2 linked regions of the Oryctolagus cuniculus genome follow. The protein of the gene in region 1 interacts with the protein of each later gene in a biochemical or structural test. Links are inferred from orthologs where the notes say so. Each region holds a gene or a part of one and is shown in the gene's direction. Other genes may lie near its edges.

The links.
Region 2: the proteins of SNCA (region 1) and YOD1 form a complex in vitro, tested with the Homo sapiens proteins (2 studies listed by BioGRID, with this or other methods). The link is inferred for Oryctolagus cuniculus from reciprocal best matches to the Homo sapiens genes SNCA and YOD1.

Annotation. Positions count from the first base shown.
Region 1 is NC_091439.1:75,751,527-75,758,876, forward strand, and holds the start of SNCA (alpha-synuclein), read left to right. Parts: upstream 1-3,299; 5' UTR 3,300-4,027; exon of another isoform or gene 4,028-4,784; intron 4,785-4,818; exon of another isoform or gene 4,819-5,216; intron 5,217-5,506; 5' UTR 5,507-5,531; coding exon 5,532-5,652; intron 5,653-7,350. UniProt on the Homo sapiens protein: Neuronal protein that plays several roles in synaptic activity such as regulation of synaptic vesicle trafficking and subsequent neurotransmitter release.
Region 2 is NC_091444.1:22,174,328-22,181,673, reverse strand, and holds the start of YOD1 (ubiquitin thioesterase OTU1), read left to right. Parts: upstream 1-3,203; coding exon 3,204-3,546; intron 3,547-4,422; coding exon 4,423-5,126; 3' UTR 5,127-7,346. Other genes in the region: PFKFB2 (6-phosphofructo-2-kinase/fructose-2,6-bisphosphatase 2), read right to left, coding at 238-385, 1,715-2,406, 2,915-2,930. UniProt on the Homo sapiens protein: Hydrolase that can remove conjugated ubiquitin from proteins and participates in endoplasmic reticulum-associated degradation (ERAD) for misfolded lumenal proteins.

The DNA of each region.
Region 1 (7,350 bases):
CGCGCTGATCCTGGCAGGAGCCAGGAGCCAGGTGCTTTTCCTGGTCTCCCATGGGGTGCAGGGCCCAAGCACCTGGGCCATCCTCCACTGCACTCCCTGGCCATAGCAGAGAGCTGGCCTGGAAGAGGGGCAACCGGGACAGAATCCGGCGCCCCAACCGGGACTAGAACCCGGTTTGCCGGCGCCGCAAGGTGGAGGATTAGCCTATTGAGCCACGGCGCCGGCTCTCTTTTTTAATTTTTTTTAAAGATTTATTTTATTTATTTGAAAGAGTTAGAGAGAGAGGTAGAGACAGAGAAAAAGGTCTTCCATCTGCTGGTCACTCCCCAGATGGCTGCAACGGCCGGAGCTGTGCCGATCCAGAGCCAGGAGCTTCTTCTGGGCCTCCCACACAGGTGCAGGGGCCCAAGGACTTGGGCCATCTTCTACTGCTATCCCAGGCCATAGCAGAGAGCTAGGTCAGAAGGGGAGGAGCCGGGACTAGAACCAGCGCCCATATGGGATGCCTGCGCTTTAGGCCAGGGCTTTAACCCACTGTGCCACAACGCTGGCTCCTGCTCTGCTGTTTTTGCCATAGCACAGGCTTACCACAGGACATAACTAAATATTTGGTTATCTCACAGAGAAAATTAAGTCTAGGGAAAGCATACATTTCACTGAATGCTAATCTATAGTGAAATTACTGAAATAAACCTGGATAAAATAATTTACTAATGTGGGGTAAAATACTGATATTTCATGTACTGAAGAGAAAATGAAGGACATGTATGGTAATTATTAAGAAAATGTTCACATCAGGATTAGGTCACTCTATCATTTGGGATACCCGTATCTCACACGGGAGTGGTGGGGTACTGGCACAGAGAAGGTGAAGTTGCAAATCTGAATATATTGCTTTATAATAGTGTACATTTTCCTTGATTTCCATTGTGATATCCAAACTCAAAGGTTATTTCTAACAGAGCTGGGTCCCACCACTTCTTCCCCATGGTACACACTCAATCTATGAGGCTTCAAGGATGAGCTGCAGTTCAGATGATTGTGCCTTCTGGTACAGTCTCTGCTAGATCATCTCAGCTCTACCACCATAAAGCTAATTAACTTCAGTCTATCTCCCCAGCAGATTCTCTGCCTATAAAAGTTATATAAAATTTAACTTATCCAATTGTTATGATTAAGTGACACGGGATTTTAGTCCTTTGCCAAACATAGGTACTATATAAAAGTATGGGATCATGATATGTTATAAGATGCATAATCATCCCCAAAATAAATCACTGATTTGCTCATGACACCTAAAATAACTGTCATTTCATTCACCCCTCCATCTTAAAGGACCAGGTCCCTGGTAAACCACAAATATGTCATATAAAATCACATATTAAATAACTGTCAGGGGCCAGCACTGTGGTGTGGTGGGTTAACGCCCTGACCTAAAGCGCCGGCATTCCATGTGGGCACCAGTTCTAGTCCTGGCTGCTCCACTTCCCATCCAGCTCTCTGCTATGGCCTGGGAAAGCAGAAGATGGCCCAAGTCCTTGGGCCCCTGCACCAGTGTGGGAAACCCAGAAGAGGCCCCTGGCTTCAGATCGGCGCAGCTCCAGCCGTTGCGGCCAATTGGGGAGTGAACCAAGGGATGGAAGACCTCTCTGTCTCTCTGCCTCTTCTTCTCTCTGTGTACCTCTGCCTTTCAACTAAATAAACACATCTTTAAAAAATAACTGTCATAATTATTTATATCTGTTGAGACATGTGGTCGTGGTGGGTCACAGTGGAAAAATGCATTATTAGCAGTAATGAAAAGCATTAAAAAATCAAACCAGTGATTCATGTAACAGCATGAATGAGTCTCAGAAATACTATGCTAGAAGAGAGAAGTCAAATAGGAAATAAAGTTCATACTTTATGATTCCATTTTGATGAAGTGTTAGAATGTACACACCTAAGAAGGGTCCATGGGACCTTTGTGGGGTGATGAAAATGTTCTGGGTTTTCCAAATAGTGCAGATTTTTCAAAATGGACACATAGCGACACTTAAGAGCTGAGCATTTACTCTATGTAAATTATAACCAAGAATAAAAATTCTCAAGTGCTATGGTGATTATTGTTTCATAATTTACATTTTGTGAATCCATGTTGAAATGTTTACAGATAAAATATGCATATAAAACTTGGAATTTACTTAAAAATGAAGATTGGTAGCGATAAAGTGGAGTGTTTATAGTTAGATATGATTAGGCAGGCATTGAAACATTGTGAAAGTTGGGTGATACTCATGTGAGAGTCTTTGATTCTACTTCTGTACATGTCTGAAAATTTTCCATAATAAAAAACTGAAAAGAGAGGGATCATCTAGTTCACCTCCTCATTTACAGGAGGAAAAGCTGTAAACAGGAGGACATAACTTGCTCACGGCCTTAAAATCAGATGGCAAACTAGCTCCCGTGTCTGCTTTCTTCCTCTGATCCCAGGAAAACAAAATATGAGCGGCTGTATCGTCCAAAGGCTGTTTTTCAAAAGGGAGGCAAGGAGTGTGAGGATCTATTAAGTGATAAATACTTGTGATCTAATTTTCACATTTTTTTTTTCTTCGGAATCTATCTGTATCATTTCTTTCTACCACCATCCCCTCCCCTTCTTATGTATTGGTTGTCACCTGTCATCTATCCATCTTTTATCTAACAATCTATATATTTAGCTATCTCTATCCTTTCTATGTAGTCGTTAGCTTCCATCCCTTGTGGTTTCAAGTTGTGCTTTATAGGTGGAAAGCACATCTGACTCAAATTTCAGAACCCAGATGCGTGCAAGCGGCAGAAAAACAGAAACAGACCAAGGAACAAACGAGGCAGCAGAGCCTTGTTCTCCCCTCCGTGCTAAGCCCATCTCCAAGAACCGGGCCAGGAAAGCAAGGCCTTCTGCTGGAGGGGGGGAGCCTGGTTCTCCCTTCTGGTGTGATCTAGGAACAGCTGTTTTCCACCCAGCACTGACAAGGGTGAAAATGCGTTAAACGACGCAGAAATCGGCGGGGGCTCTCTCGCGTGTGCCGTGTAAGGGGAGGGGGTGTCAGCTCGGAGGGCAACGTGCACCACGTTGGATTTGCCTCCTAGACCTTGTCCTGGGGTCTGGAAACGAAGCCGCGTTTCCAGAGCGAAAAGCCTTGGGGCCGCTCGCTTTCGACGGCTGGGGAATATTTATTGCCTGCTTCACAGATGGGGAAAAAAAAAAAATCAGCTTCTGGCAGCCGCTGATTGGTGGAAAAGAAAATGGTGAGAGCCTGGTAGGGAGACGATTTGACGAGTCCCCTCGTGCCTCCCGAACCTGTATCTGTTGCTCGGTGGTCCCCAGCCTGCCCGCGGGACCCTTTCGGGCTCACCCGGGGTTAAGCGAGAACAGAAAACCTCGAGGATGTTCGAACAAAAGCGACCCTGCACGAGGCGCCCCTCGGCCGTGTGCTAAGTGTCAGGAAGCGGGCTGACGCGGGGCAGGTGCAGGCGCCCCCGCCGCGCCCCGTGTCTCCTCCGTCCGCTCCCGGAGCCAGGCTCGGCTGCGACGCCCATTCCTCGGTCCCCAAGCCCCAGGGTTAGGCTCTGCTGGGAGCGAGGTCCCCGAGAAACCAGAGGAAAGGAGACAGCGAGGGAGCGGGTGGAAAGAAGAGACCTCAGCCCGAGCCAAAGCGCTCCGGAGGTCCGCACGTTCCCGGTGCCTCTGAGCCTGCGGTGAAGCACCGGGCCCCGCGCCTTTACGCCTCCCAGGCCGAGGCGGCCGGCTGCAGTGGCCGGGGCCACCTGCCCCGCACCCCCTCCCCACGGAGCACGAGAGCCGAGAGCACGCGCCGGGAGCGCAGCGAGCGCGGGAGAGGGGCGGGGAGAGGCGCTGACAAATCAGCCGTGGGGGCGGTGAGTCGAGGAGATCCGGGCGCCGGAGGAGGAGGTGGAGGAGGACGGCGAGGAGGAGGACGGCCGCGACCAGGGGCCCGCGAGCGGGACGACGGCGGAGCGGGAGTGTGTGCTGACGCGCAGCGAGGTGTGTGCTTGGCCTCTGGGCAGCCCCGGGACGCAGCCCCGCCCTGCGCCTACCTCCAGCCCTCCGCCCGCCTTCCCTCGCGACCCTCGCTTTCTTCCTCCCCCATCCTCCGTGCGGGGGACGGGGAGTGGCAATTGGACGCGAGGTTCGCGCGTGTGCCTCCCACGTCCCCCGCCTCCCGTCGCTGGCTTGCGCTGACGGCAGCCTCCTCTGGGGATCATCCGTCTCTTGGCGCCGCCTCCGCCCTTCCTGTGCGCTCCCGTCCCCTCCCTTGGCCCGTTTAAATAATATTTGGCACTTGTTTAAATTAAAGGGAAAGGGGGGGAGGGGAGGACTCGGAGTCCCGGAGAAGCAGAGTTCTCGGGTGAGTACCTGTGGCTCTGAACGGGCAGCTTTGGAAATCGTGGAGAAACCCGGGAAGGCAGAGGAGCCGCCGCGGACGCGGGGTGGTGGTAGGGTGCACCCCAGGACCGCGGTGTCCAGGCTCTTGGTGGGGCGTGCAGGTCCCTCGCGTGCACGTCAGGAGTGGATGTTGACCCAGCTCTCCCCGGCCTCCCCAAAGGCTGCGAAATCAGCGGCTTCTCCGGGGTGCGTTTTCCCCGCGGAAGCGCCGGGTGCTGGGTGGAGCAAGAGCATCCAACTTTTCTTCTCTTACGGTAACCGCCACCCCGTAGGCCGCTTTTTCGCTGTTTCCCGAGAAGAGAGGAAACAGCTTTGGCCAATTTCTAAATAAAGTGCAGAGGGGACAAGGCAACAGGTAGGAAGGGGTTAACAGGTGCAGGCGCTAGGTGTGCTTGGGGGTGCGGTGCGGCTGAGAACGCCCTTTAGTGTGGCTGGCAGGGGTGTGGACGCTGCCAGCGGGTGAAGACCAGCGCCTGCTCCGGATAGATAGCAGAGGGCGGAGGTGGAGGGCACCGTGGATTCAGAGGAGCGTCCCCTGGCTCCTTCCTTGTTGTCTTGCGGTTTAACCACATGCAGAGTGAGTAGTGCTCTTCCCTCCCCTGGGATCAACCTGTTACCCCTCTTCTGGGATTCATTTTAAGGATGCGCCTGGCCATGGCCCCCAGCTCCCGTCCTTTTCCTGAGGTCTTTCCTCTAAACCTCCTGCTGACTTAGAGGGTCACCCTTTGGACCCTGGGAAGTTGGAAGAAGGGCGCATCTGTTCCTGCCACTCCACTTCTGAGATGCAGTAAGAACAGCTCAGATGCTCTCCCTGGTCAGCATGAGTCAAGATGGATGGGGGAGGAGAAATTCCTAAAGCTAAAGCTTAAGGGGAGTGGGCTGGGGTGGGAGTGAGGGGCGGACTGCTTTGTCCAGGTGGTTGAAATGAGGGGTCACGTCAAAGAGTTTTCACGCTTTTGGGGATTTCTACAGATTTTTAGTGTTTTCGTTTTCTGTTTTGTTTTTAGCTTGGATGGTTTGAATTTTGCTTGCTTTTACCAAAAAGTTCTCACTCAGCATGTATTTTGTGTTTTCCAGTGTGGTGTAAAGGAATTCATTAGCCATGGATGTGTTCATGAAAGGGCTTTCAAAGGCCAAGGAGGGAGTTGTGGCTGCCGCTGAGAAAACCAAACAGGGTGTGGCAGAGGCTGCAGGGAAGACAAAAGAGGGTGTTCTCTATGTAGGTAGGTAGCCCCCCCACCTCCCATGTCATTCTGATACTGGTCCCTGATTGATTAGTTACAATGATGGATACAAGAATGCTGACATTTCTCACGTGATTCGTTCTTGCATCATCACTTGTCAAAAGGATGGATTGAGTCGGAGGACTGGGTAGGTAGGTGAATGTGAAGGTGTATGTTTGAGCTAATCGTGAGAAAATGTGGCTAATCTTTTGTTTCCCCAGATTTTTAAATGTTGCAGTAACACTTAGAACACTTAGAACTTTTTTATCCTTTTTTTCCCCAATGAATGAGTGGCTGTATTCAGAGGGCTGTTTGGAAAACTTAGTCCTTTTTTAAAAAATTAAAACATTTCTAATGATCAAAATAATTCATCGACTATTGATCTCTTTTATCATGATGAATAATATTTACTAATTTTAATGTCTGGCAATTATAAAATAAGACTTTGATACAGCCCTGCTCTGTGACTGTAACTCCAAAATGGAAAGAAGAGGTTATTCTGTGTTGTGATTACTCCTTGTGATGCCTTGATTCCTGTGGACACTCGGTCCAAAGGCTGAAGGAAGTGCTTAAAGGTGCTGCAGCTATCTTCAGAAATATTTATGTAGTTCATCTCTCAAATGACATGCAGAAAATAATCATGCAGTTGTTGCCTATCACTCTACTTGGTTCTAAATTCCCACCTGGGAGTATCCGCCAAGAGCTTGACCCTCTTATCTGTATCTTGAACTGTGTTAAACTGGGTGTTATTTTGCAAATTACTTTAAATTTTTTGGAGAACAAATGGACACATAGGTACATATCCACATGGAAGGCACTACAAAGGATCATGGAAAATTGAATGAAAAGAGAAGTTTATTTCAGTGTCAAACATTTTTGAAATGCATGCATAAGTTTTTCCCAGTAGGCATTTTTGGGAGAACTTCTTGAAGACTCATTATGTACACACACATTGCCTGTTCCTCTCTTCTTTCTCCACTGCTCCTCTGAGCTCTGCTGCCTTCTCTGGTGGCGACTACAGCAGCAGGAGCCATAGCCTGAGCAGGCAGGTGGAGGGTGAGCATTTGCATGGCATGGGCGATACACTTGCTGTGCCTGTGTCTGTGGAGTGAAAGATGCTGAGCTACTCTCAGATGTAGATCACAGGAGAAAACTTACACTTGAGATGCTTTTTATGACTGCTTCTCTTTACAGTTTACAGCAGAGTACTTTTTCCTTGTTCTTCAGACTCTTTTTATGTTGGCTTGATCTTCCCGTAAGTCTTCAGTTAAATTACTTTTTTTCTGCAAATATGTTTTCAGAAATATCATTGAAATAGGCTGATACAAGAGGGAAAAATTGGGAAGTTAAGTGCAAGTTTTTTTGTAAAGGATGAATTGTATCATTTTAGTTAGAATTGGTAATACTGAAACAATGACAAAGATGATCAGTATTTTTCTGTTGGTCCTCAGTTTTCCAACTTCTGTAAGTACAAGCTCCTTTGACTATAATTTGTGTGTTTAAAGATTTTTCTTTAGGGAGTCAACATTCCCTCTAGTCATTTGTTGTAAATTCAGAAACTACTAAATATTAATTTAATACTTTGCTCTTTCCTGGTAATGAATAAGTTTTATCATCTGCAACACTTATTTGCTTTCGTGTTGACTATGAGTTTGGGCAAGTGAAATGATTTTATTTCTCAGAGATCAGTTCTGTTAT
Region 2 (7,346 bases), on another chromosome or scaffold:
TACTTCGAAGATCAAATGAGTGTGCAGCTCACACACTCCTGGGCTGCCCCAGCCTTCTAGCCCCAAAATCAAACATTTCACTGAAACGACTAGTTTCAGACAGGAAACCGTCCCCTTGGAGATGGCACTTTAGATCCCCAAGTCAAGGAATGATTTTCCAGTCCTACCAAGAAGCAGAGTTGCATTCCCAAGATAACATCCCGGCAGTCGGCCGCCCTTCTCTGTCCCAGAACTCACAACATTTCTTGTCCGACATGCGAAGACCGGCGGTTCGGTTGCTGCCGTGTTCCGAGGGAGACCCGAAGTGCCCGGACATGGTGGCTCTCCGGTAGGCGTCTGGAAGGAGGGGCAGGAAGACGGTCTTCAAAACAGTGCGGAGGGTCAGCTGGGTCGCAGGAAAGAACTCAGGGTCAAGAGTCAAGGCCAGCTCTCTCTCCCGCAGAGAGGAGCTGCCTGTCCTTGGGGAACCATGAGCCTCCTCCGTCTCCTATTTTCTCACTTACAAAGAGGGTGGTGCTAGAACCCTACGTGTATTGCTGACTTGGGAGTTTACCCTCATAGACACTTTTATCTCTTTCAATCCTAAGTAGAGCAGATGTTGCTACCATTATTACTTCTCTCCCATTTTACAGATTGAAAAACCGACGTTGTTCGATTTAAGTGGCTTGTCCAAGTTTCTTTACGACATCAGACTCCGGTTTTGAGGATCTAGGGCAGGAAGGCTGGGAACAGATCATTACCAAGAAGGCATTCTCAGGGCTGGCTCTGTGGCACAGCGGGTCAGGCCACAGGCTGGGACTCTCACATCCCAGAGAGCAGTGCTGGGTTCAGTTTCTCTTCAACTTCTGATTCCATTTCCTGCTAATGTGCATCCTGGCAGGCAGCAGGTGACGGCTTAAGCCCTTGGGCCCCTGCCACCCACAAAGGAGACCCAGACGGCCGGCTGGCCCAGCCCTGGCTGTTGCTGGCATTTGAGTAGTGAACCAGCAGATGGAAGATCTCTCTCTCTGCCTCTCAAGTACATGAAAATAAACATTTTTAAACAGAAAGTAACTTCAATCCAAAGGTTGATTCAGTACTTTCAAAAACTGAGAAGAGTGGGAAAATTTGAAACACGTTCCCTGGGCGAAAGCTGTCCCTGGACGGCCCTACACGTCGCTTCTCCTCTGAGTTCTCACCCTTCTGCCCGGCCCTGCAGCCTCTCCCCGCTTATCCGCTAGGATTCTAAGGGAGGAACACGGGAGGCAAGGGTGGTAAGTGACTTCCCCAAGGTCACCTGCAGAATAAGGGGTAAATCCTGGGGTAGGAAAGCCCAGAGCTCGCTCCCTAACCCAGCTTACACGGGGCCCGCGAGGGCAGAAGGTCCCACCCCTTCAGGGGCCGCGCATTATTCCTCCACGACCACACAAATCGTCCAAGCCGAGCCGCAGGTGCGGCTCCCAGGCCCTGGCCGCCCGCACTCCCCGAGACGGAGAGGCATTAACGCCCGGCACCTCATCCGGGTGCGTGCAGCCCCCCGCGGCCCGCCCTCCCAGCCCCTCCCAGGCGCCGGCAGCGGTGGCTCACCCCGCGATCTCTCCGGAGACCCCTGCCGGCTGCGGCCCCGGCGCTGCCCCGTAACTCGGGAGACTGGAGTCGTGGCTGGGGGCCCGGCCCCGAGTCCCCGGCGGGTCACGTGCCCGCTGGCCCCGCCCACCCGCGCGTCGGTCCTCACCTGGAGAGAACCACCGACCAACCGGGCGCCGGCGGATGCAGGGGGCGGGGCTCCAGGCGGAACCGCGGACCCTGGCCCCGAGGAAGGGTGAGACCAGCTCCGGAGTCTCCGGGCTCCCGGGCGGGCTGCATCGTTGCTTGGTAACCAACAGGGCTGGGGGCGGGGCCCACAGAAAGCCTGACTGTTCTGTAAAAACTCTCGCGAGACTGAACCGCGCCAGCCGGCGTCCGCAGAGGTTAACGCTTTCATCCCTGAGTCCCAGGCGGACAGCGTGGGATCCGCACACCCGAGCGAAAGCTCTAAGAGGCGCCGGGAGTCGGCGTCCACCGTGCTCTTGAGGGTCGCGCCCCGAGTGTTCGCGTGCCGCTCCCCGTGGGTCAGACCGTGTACCCTAACGAGGGACCGGGGGCTTCCCGGACCCAGCCATGCGCCCGGCTGGACTTCACCCACCGTCCCGCCCCCGCCCCGCCCCGCCCACGCGACAGCATCTGTGACGGTCGTGTTGAAGGCCCGAGGCGCTCCACGGCACCGGCAGGGGCCTGGGTGGGAAAGGTGTTTGCAGAGAGCAGGGGCTCCTCGTGGCCACTCGGAGGCGGCGGCGCTGGCGGTGAGTTTGCACGTCCCAGGGGCCTGCCCTCGTCCCGCTGATGCTGGAGGCTGTAGAGGAGGAGCCCTGCCGCTCTGGGTCCGGGCTGGATAAAGAGCAGTGCAAATGCACTTCTTGGGCTAGAGCTCAATCCCGGGGCGTCTCTACCCCCCCCCCCCACCCGGGAGCGAAGACATTCTCCCAAACAGCTCGAACGTGTAGCTATCTCCCCTTTCGGCGAGTGGCAGCGGCCCTCCCCGTGCCCCTGCGCTGTACGCCAGGCACAGCCCTGGGTTTTAGGCCTACAGCGTGGGGAAGGGCCACCTGACCCCGCACTGTCTCCTCGCCGTGACACCCAGCGGCGCCGCGGCTCCCACCGCGAGTCTCTCCGCGCCACCGCCGGCACCGAAGGCGGGGACGCGGCCGACTCGGGGTCTGTCCGCCCGGGAACTGCAGAGGCAGCTCGGGCCCCTCGCTCCTCCTCACACTGCGCCCCCCAGGCTGGGGCCGGCCGCCTGCTGCCGCCGGGGTGGGAGGGTCGGGCTTCCGGCCCCTCAGCCCCGGCGCGGGCGGCCACGAGCCTCCGATGGCGTCTGACAGCCCCGCTGACTCACTGGCCATTCCTAGCATTCCGAGCCGTGTCGGGCGGAGGCCCCGGCCGGCCTAATCACTGGCCGCCGACATTCCACCCGACTCCCTCCGGGAACTGCTTCCCCGCCCTCTTCCCGCGCGCTGTCCTTATAAGCCGCCGGCGCGGAGCGCGGCGAGGCCAGGGATGCTTTAGGGATACGGGGCGCATCCTCGTCCCTGCAACACCAGCGACCACTTTAAGGGAGTTCGCTCTCCTCCAAGGGCCGAGGCGGAAAGTGTCGCGAGAACTGTAGCCCGCGCCGACTTCTCGCGATGTTTGGCCCCGCGAAGGGTGGCCATTTTGGAGTCCACCCGGCGGCCGGTTGCCCCGGCGGCGTCTCGCCTCCTGCGGCCGCCACCAAGGCTGGCCCCGCGGGTGTCTGGCCTGTGGGCGGCCAGTCCGACACGATGTGGCGGCTGCGCTGCAAGGCCAAGGATGGCACCCATGTTTTGCAGGGGCTGTCCAGCCGAACCCGGGTGCGAGAACTCCAGGGCCAAATTGCCGCCATCACCGGGATCGCCCCCGGCGGTCAGCGAATCCTCGTCGGCTTTCCGCCCGAGTGCCTGGATCTCAGCGACGGGGACACCGTTCTGGGGGACTTGCCCATCCAATCAGGTAAGGGATCGGAGCTGGGACCAGCGGGAAGGCCTGAGGGGCGCGCGCGGGGACGGAGACCCAGGCAAGGCAGGTGGCTGGGGGCGCTGACGGAGGCCGGGCCAAGTGTCCGGCAGCTCCGTGCCTTTACACAGGGCTGGAAGAGAAGCCCAGAGCCCAGGAGTTCGCCCTCCCCAGCCTGCCTTCTGTGCTTCCCTGAAGCTAGCTCAGCCTTGTTTTCCCCGTGCATCCGCAAAAGTTGGAAAAGGTAGGGCCTGCCTCTCGGTCCCGAGCGCTCGTTCCCGGTGTCGCTCGTTGGCCAGCCGGTCTGAAGGGTCCGGGGTTATTCCTTTGGCTTTCCTGGTTCGTTTTTGCAGTCCCCCGCGTTGAATAGTTAAGTTTAACAGGTGCACGCCTCGTAGAGTTAGCTTGTAAACATCCACGGAGAGCTCTTTCAAGTCCTAACCGACAGTAATTATTTGTGTCCAGTGTTAAAACTTGAACATCAACGTTGTAATTAAAAGCTTTTTGTTCTTGGATCCGGGACCTTGTAAACACAAGCGGGGCGAGAGAGGCCAAGTTTCAGGAGGGCGAGAGCCCCCTAGCGGCCGGTCTAGGGAAAACACCCTCCGGACGAAGGCTTCGCAGGCAATTTTGTTTTAAATGTATCTTTTTAAGGAAGTGTGACGGTGTAGGCCTCCGGCTTCGTTTGCTTGGGGTGCAGCTTGAAGTCTGTTCTGTTTTCACCTTTGTGAACAGTCGGGGTCAGGTGTTTCTAGTGTTCCTAGGGGCAGCAGTGTTCTCCATCGTAACCCCAGCTTCTATTTGTAATTTACAGACTTGGCTAATCTCATCTGTCATTTCTCTGCAGTTCTGGATCTGTTTTATTTTTAACAGGCGATATGCTGATCGTTGAAGAAGACCAAACCAGGCCCAAAGCTTCACCTGCATTCTCAAAACACGGTGCTCCTAGCTATGTCAAGGAAACCTTGCCTGTGCTTTCCAGGACTGTGGTCCCAGCAGACAACTCCTGCCTCTTCACCAGCGTGTACTATGTGGTTGAAGGAGGCGTCCTGGATCCAGCTTGCGCCCCTGAGATGAGACGCCTCATAGCACAGATCGTAGCGAGCGATCCAGACTTCTACAGTGAGGCCATACTGGGAAAAACAAATCAAGAGTACTGTGACTGGATCAAAAGGGATGATACTTGGGGAGGAGCGATTGAAATCTCCATCTTGTCTAAATTTTACCAGTGTGAAATCTGTGTAGTGGATACACAGACGGTAAGAATCGATCGCTTCGGGGAAGACGCGGGGTATACCAAAAGGGTCCTGCTGATTTACGATGGCATCCACTACGACCCGCTGCAGCGAGACTTCCCGGATCCAGACACGCCGCCTCTGACCATCTTCTCCTCGAACGATGACATTGTCCTCGTACAAGCACTGGAACTAGCAGATGAAGCTAGAAGAAAGAGACAGTTTACCGACGTCAACCGCTTCACCCTGCGATGCATGGTGTGTCAGAAGGGGCTGACTGGACAGGCAGAGGCAAGAGAGCATGCCAAGGAGACAGGCCACACCAACTTTGGAGAAGTGTGATCTATGCATGATGAGGGTGGAAGCCTACTACCTCACAGATCCAGAAGGCTCTGGGTTTTCCAATAAGCTATTCCTGACCCTAAAGAACAAAGGACACAATGCTTGAACCACACCTTGAACTTGAAACCACTAAGACACTGAAATTCCTTGTTAAGATTAAAATTAGTGTGCAAGTTTACAGATGTGTGTCTACAGTGGTGATGCCTGCCCTCTTTCCACGGGGGTGACAGAACAGGTGGCCCCCCACCTGCTGGAGATTGAGTTTCAGTATTATAAACTAGCACGCAGCAGCTTTCACCTGTAGAAGAAGAGAACGCCACATTTCGAGTAATGTTGACAGCCTCTCATGAGGCCCCGGACGTGTACCAGTGTCTCCAGTAATTGAGTCCTTTTAACAACTGAGTGAGTTAATAGTTTCTAAATTATGAATTGATTTATCAAACGAAGATACTCAGAATTGTCAAAACTGATTTTATATTGCCATTTGGTAGACTTTATCAGTGTGTACTTAACCACTTCTGAGTACGTAACAAGCAATCTTTACAGGGATGAGTGCGTTCCTAGAGAATGTCGCTGACAGCAGGAGCGCCTGTGTCCTGCTGCGGATTTCTGGTGTGTGAAGTAGAATGTATGAGGAAAAGGTGCCTGAAGCAGCTCCCTGCGGCTTCCAAGGACGTCAGCCTCGTGTGTCAATGCACTTCCTGTGCTGGTCTTTGTCATGTTGGGTACAATTTTAAAATTAAGCAGGGTAATTTTTTTTTAATCAAAGTTCCTTGAAATTCCAGTATTTGATTTTTGCTTTCTTTACATGAAAATTTGGAGGGATGTAATTTTCTCAGCTTTTTGTCACGAGAACTTCCTCCAAAAAACATCTTCATCCAAAGTGAGAATGCTATGCTTCGGCTTGTGTTTTACAAGACTTTGCATACCTGAACAGTGTTTGGTGTTGTGCCAGCCCTGTCCCTCCACTACCACTCTTGAATAATTCCATATTTCTGCAAATTAGCACTTTGCTTAATCTGTGATCTTGTACTTTGAAACATTTTCAAAGTAATTGAGATAATGCTGTTAAATGAATTTGTTTCTCTTCCAAAACATGAAAGTTTTAAAACCCTTGCCTTATTCAGCTTTCTCTGACTTCTGCTTCTTCCTAGTTACGTAGATGTGCAGCCATTTGCTTGGCGGCCCGGTCCGCGAGGCATGCCCTCTGACACGTGGCTGCACTACGAGATCTTCCACATAAGATTTTCTACCTCTTTTCTTAATTCCTATGAAGATCAGGGATGCTAAGTTAGAGTTTGTTATGTATTATCTCACACCATGTGAAGAAGCTTAATGTTGTGAAGTTAGTTTTGATGAAGTATCTCTTAGGAAACCTATGGTATACTCTAAAGCACTTAATATCTCTTCAGCATATAGTCTCAGCAGATGTTTTTAGAATTGAGTTTTACTTTTAGCATTTACACTCGGTGAAGGTGACCGTGTAGAATTAAGGACCATGTGAACAATTTAGGGGAAAATACTTGAAGGAACAATTCACAACGAAGATTCAAATCATGAAATGAGGTTGCTGGAGTACCTCTTGAGTGCATATCTGTTTTAGGTATTATAAGTTATTATGGTCAATATAACTAAAAAGTGTTTCATTTTCTATTTTCTGAGCCTTAAAAATAGCGCTTGTGAGCTTACAATAATGTTTGGCAATCATGTTACATGTGAATGAATATGGTTGAAGATCTGTCCCTATCATCTGGTCTAGATGATTTTTGTATGATTTTTATTTTCCTCAAAAAAAGATGAAATTTAAAAATGTAATTTATGAATATGCCACCAGGTGACATTTATCTGATTGAGCTTTCTGCATCGTTATTCATTAAGCTGTCTTCCCTTTCTTTGCCGTTTCAGGAGCTACATTTGATATTTGCTGACTGAAATTTTAGACCTAGAAGTTTGTTCATGCAACAAATATTTATTGAGTATTTTATCATATTGCAGGCATGGTTTGATATGTTTCCCAACATAAATTTCTCACTTTAAAATAAATATTACCTACAATGGATTGATTCAACAAGTACAAAGGGAAGAAATGGAGCAAGGATATTCAACAGCAGTGACAGCCCCTACCCCCACCCCCCACCCAGGGTCTTAAGAGTTTTGATCACATATTGTTAAGTATTCTTTTGGGGAATCTTTCTTTGTCTGGGTCAACTAGGTTGTCCA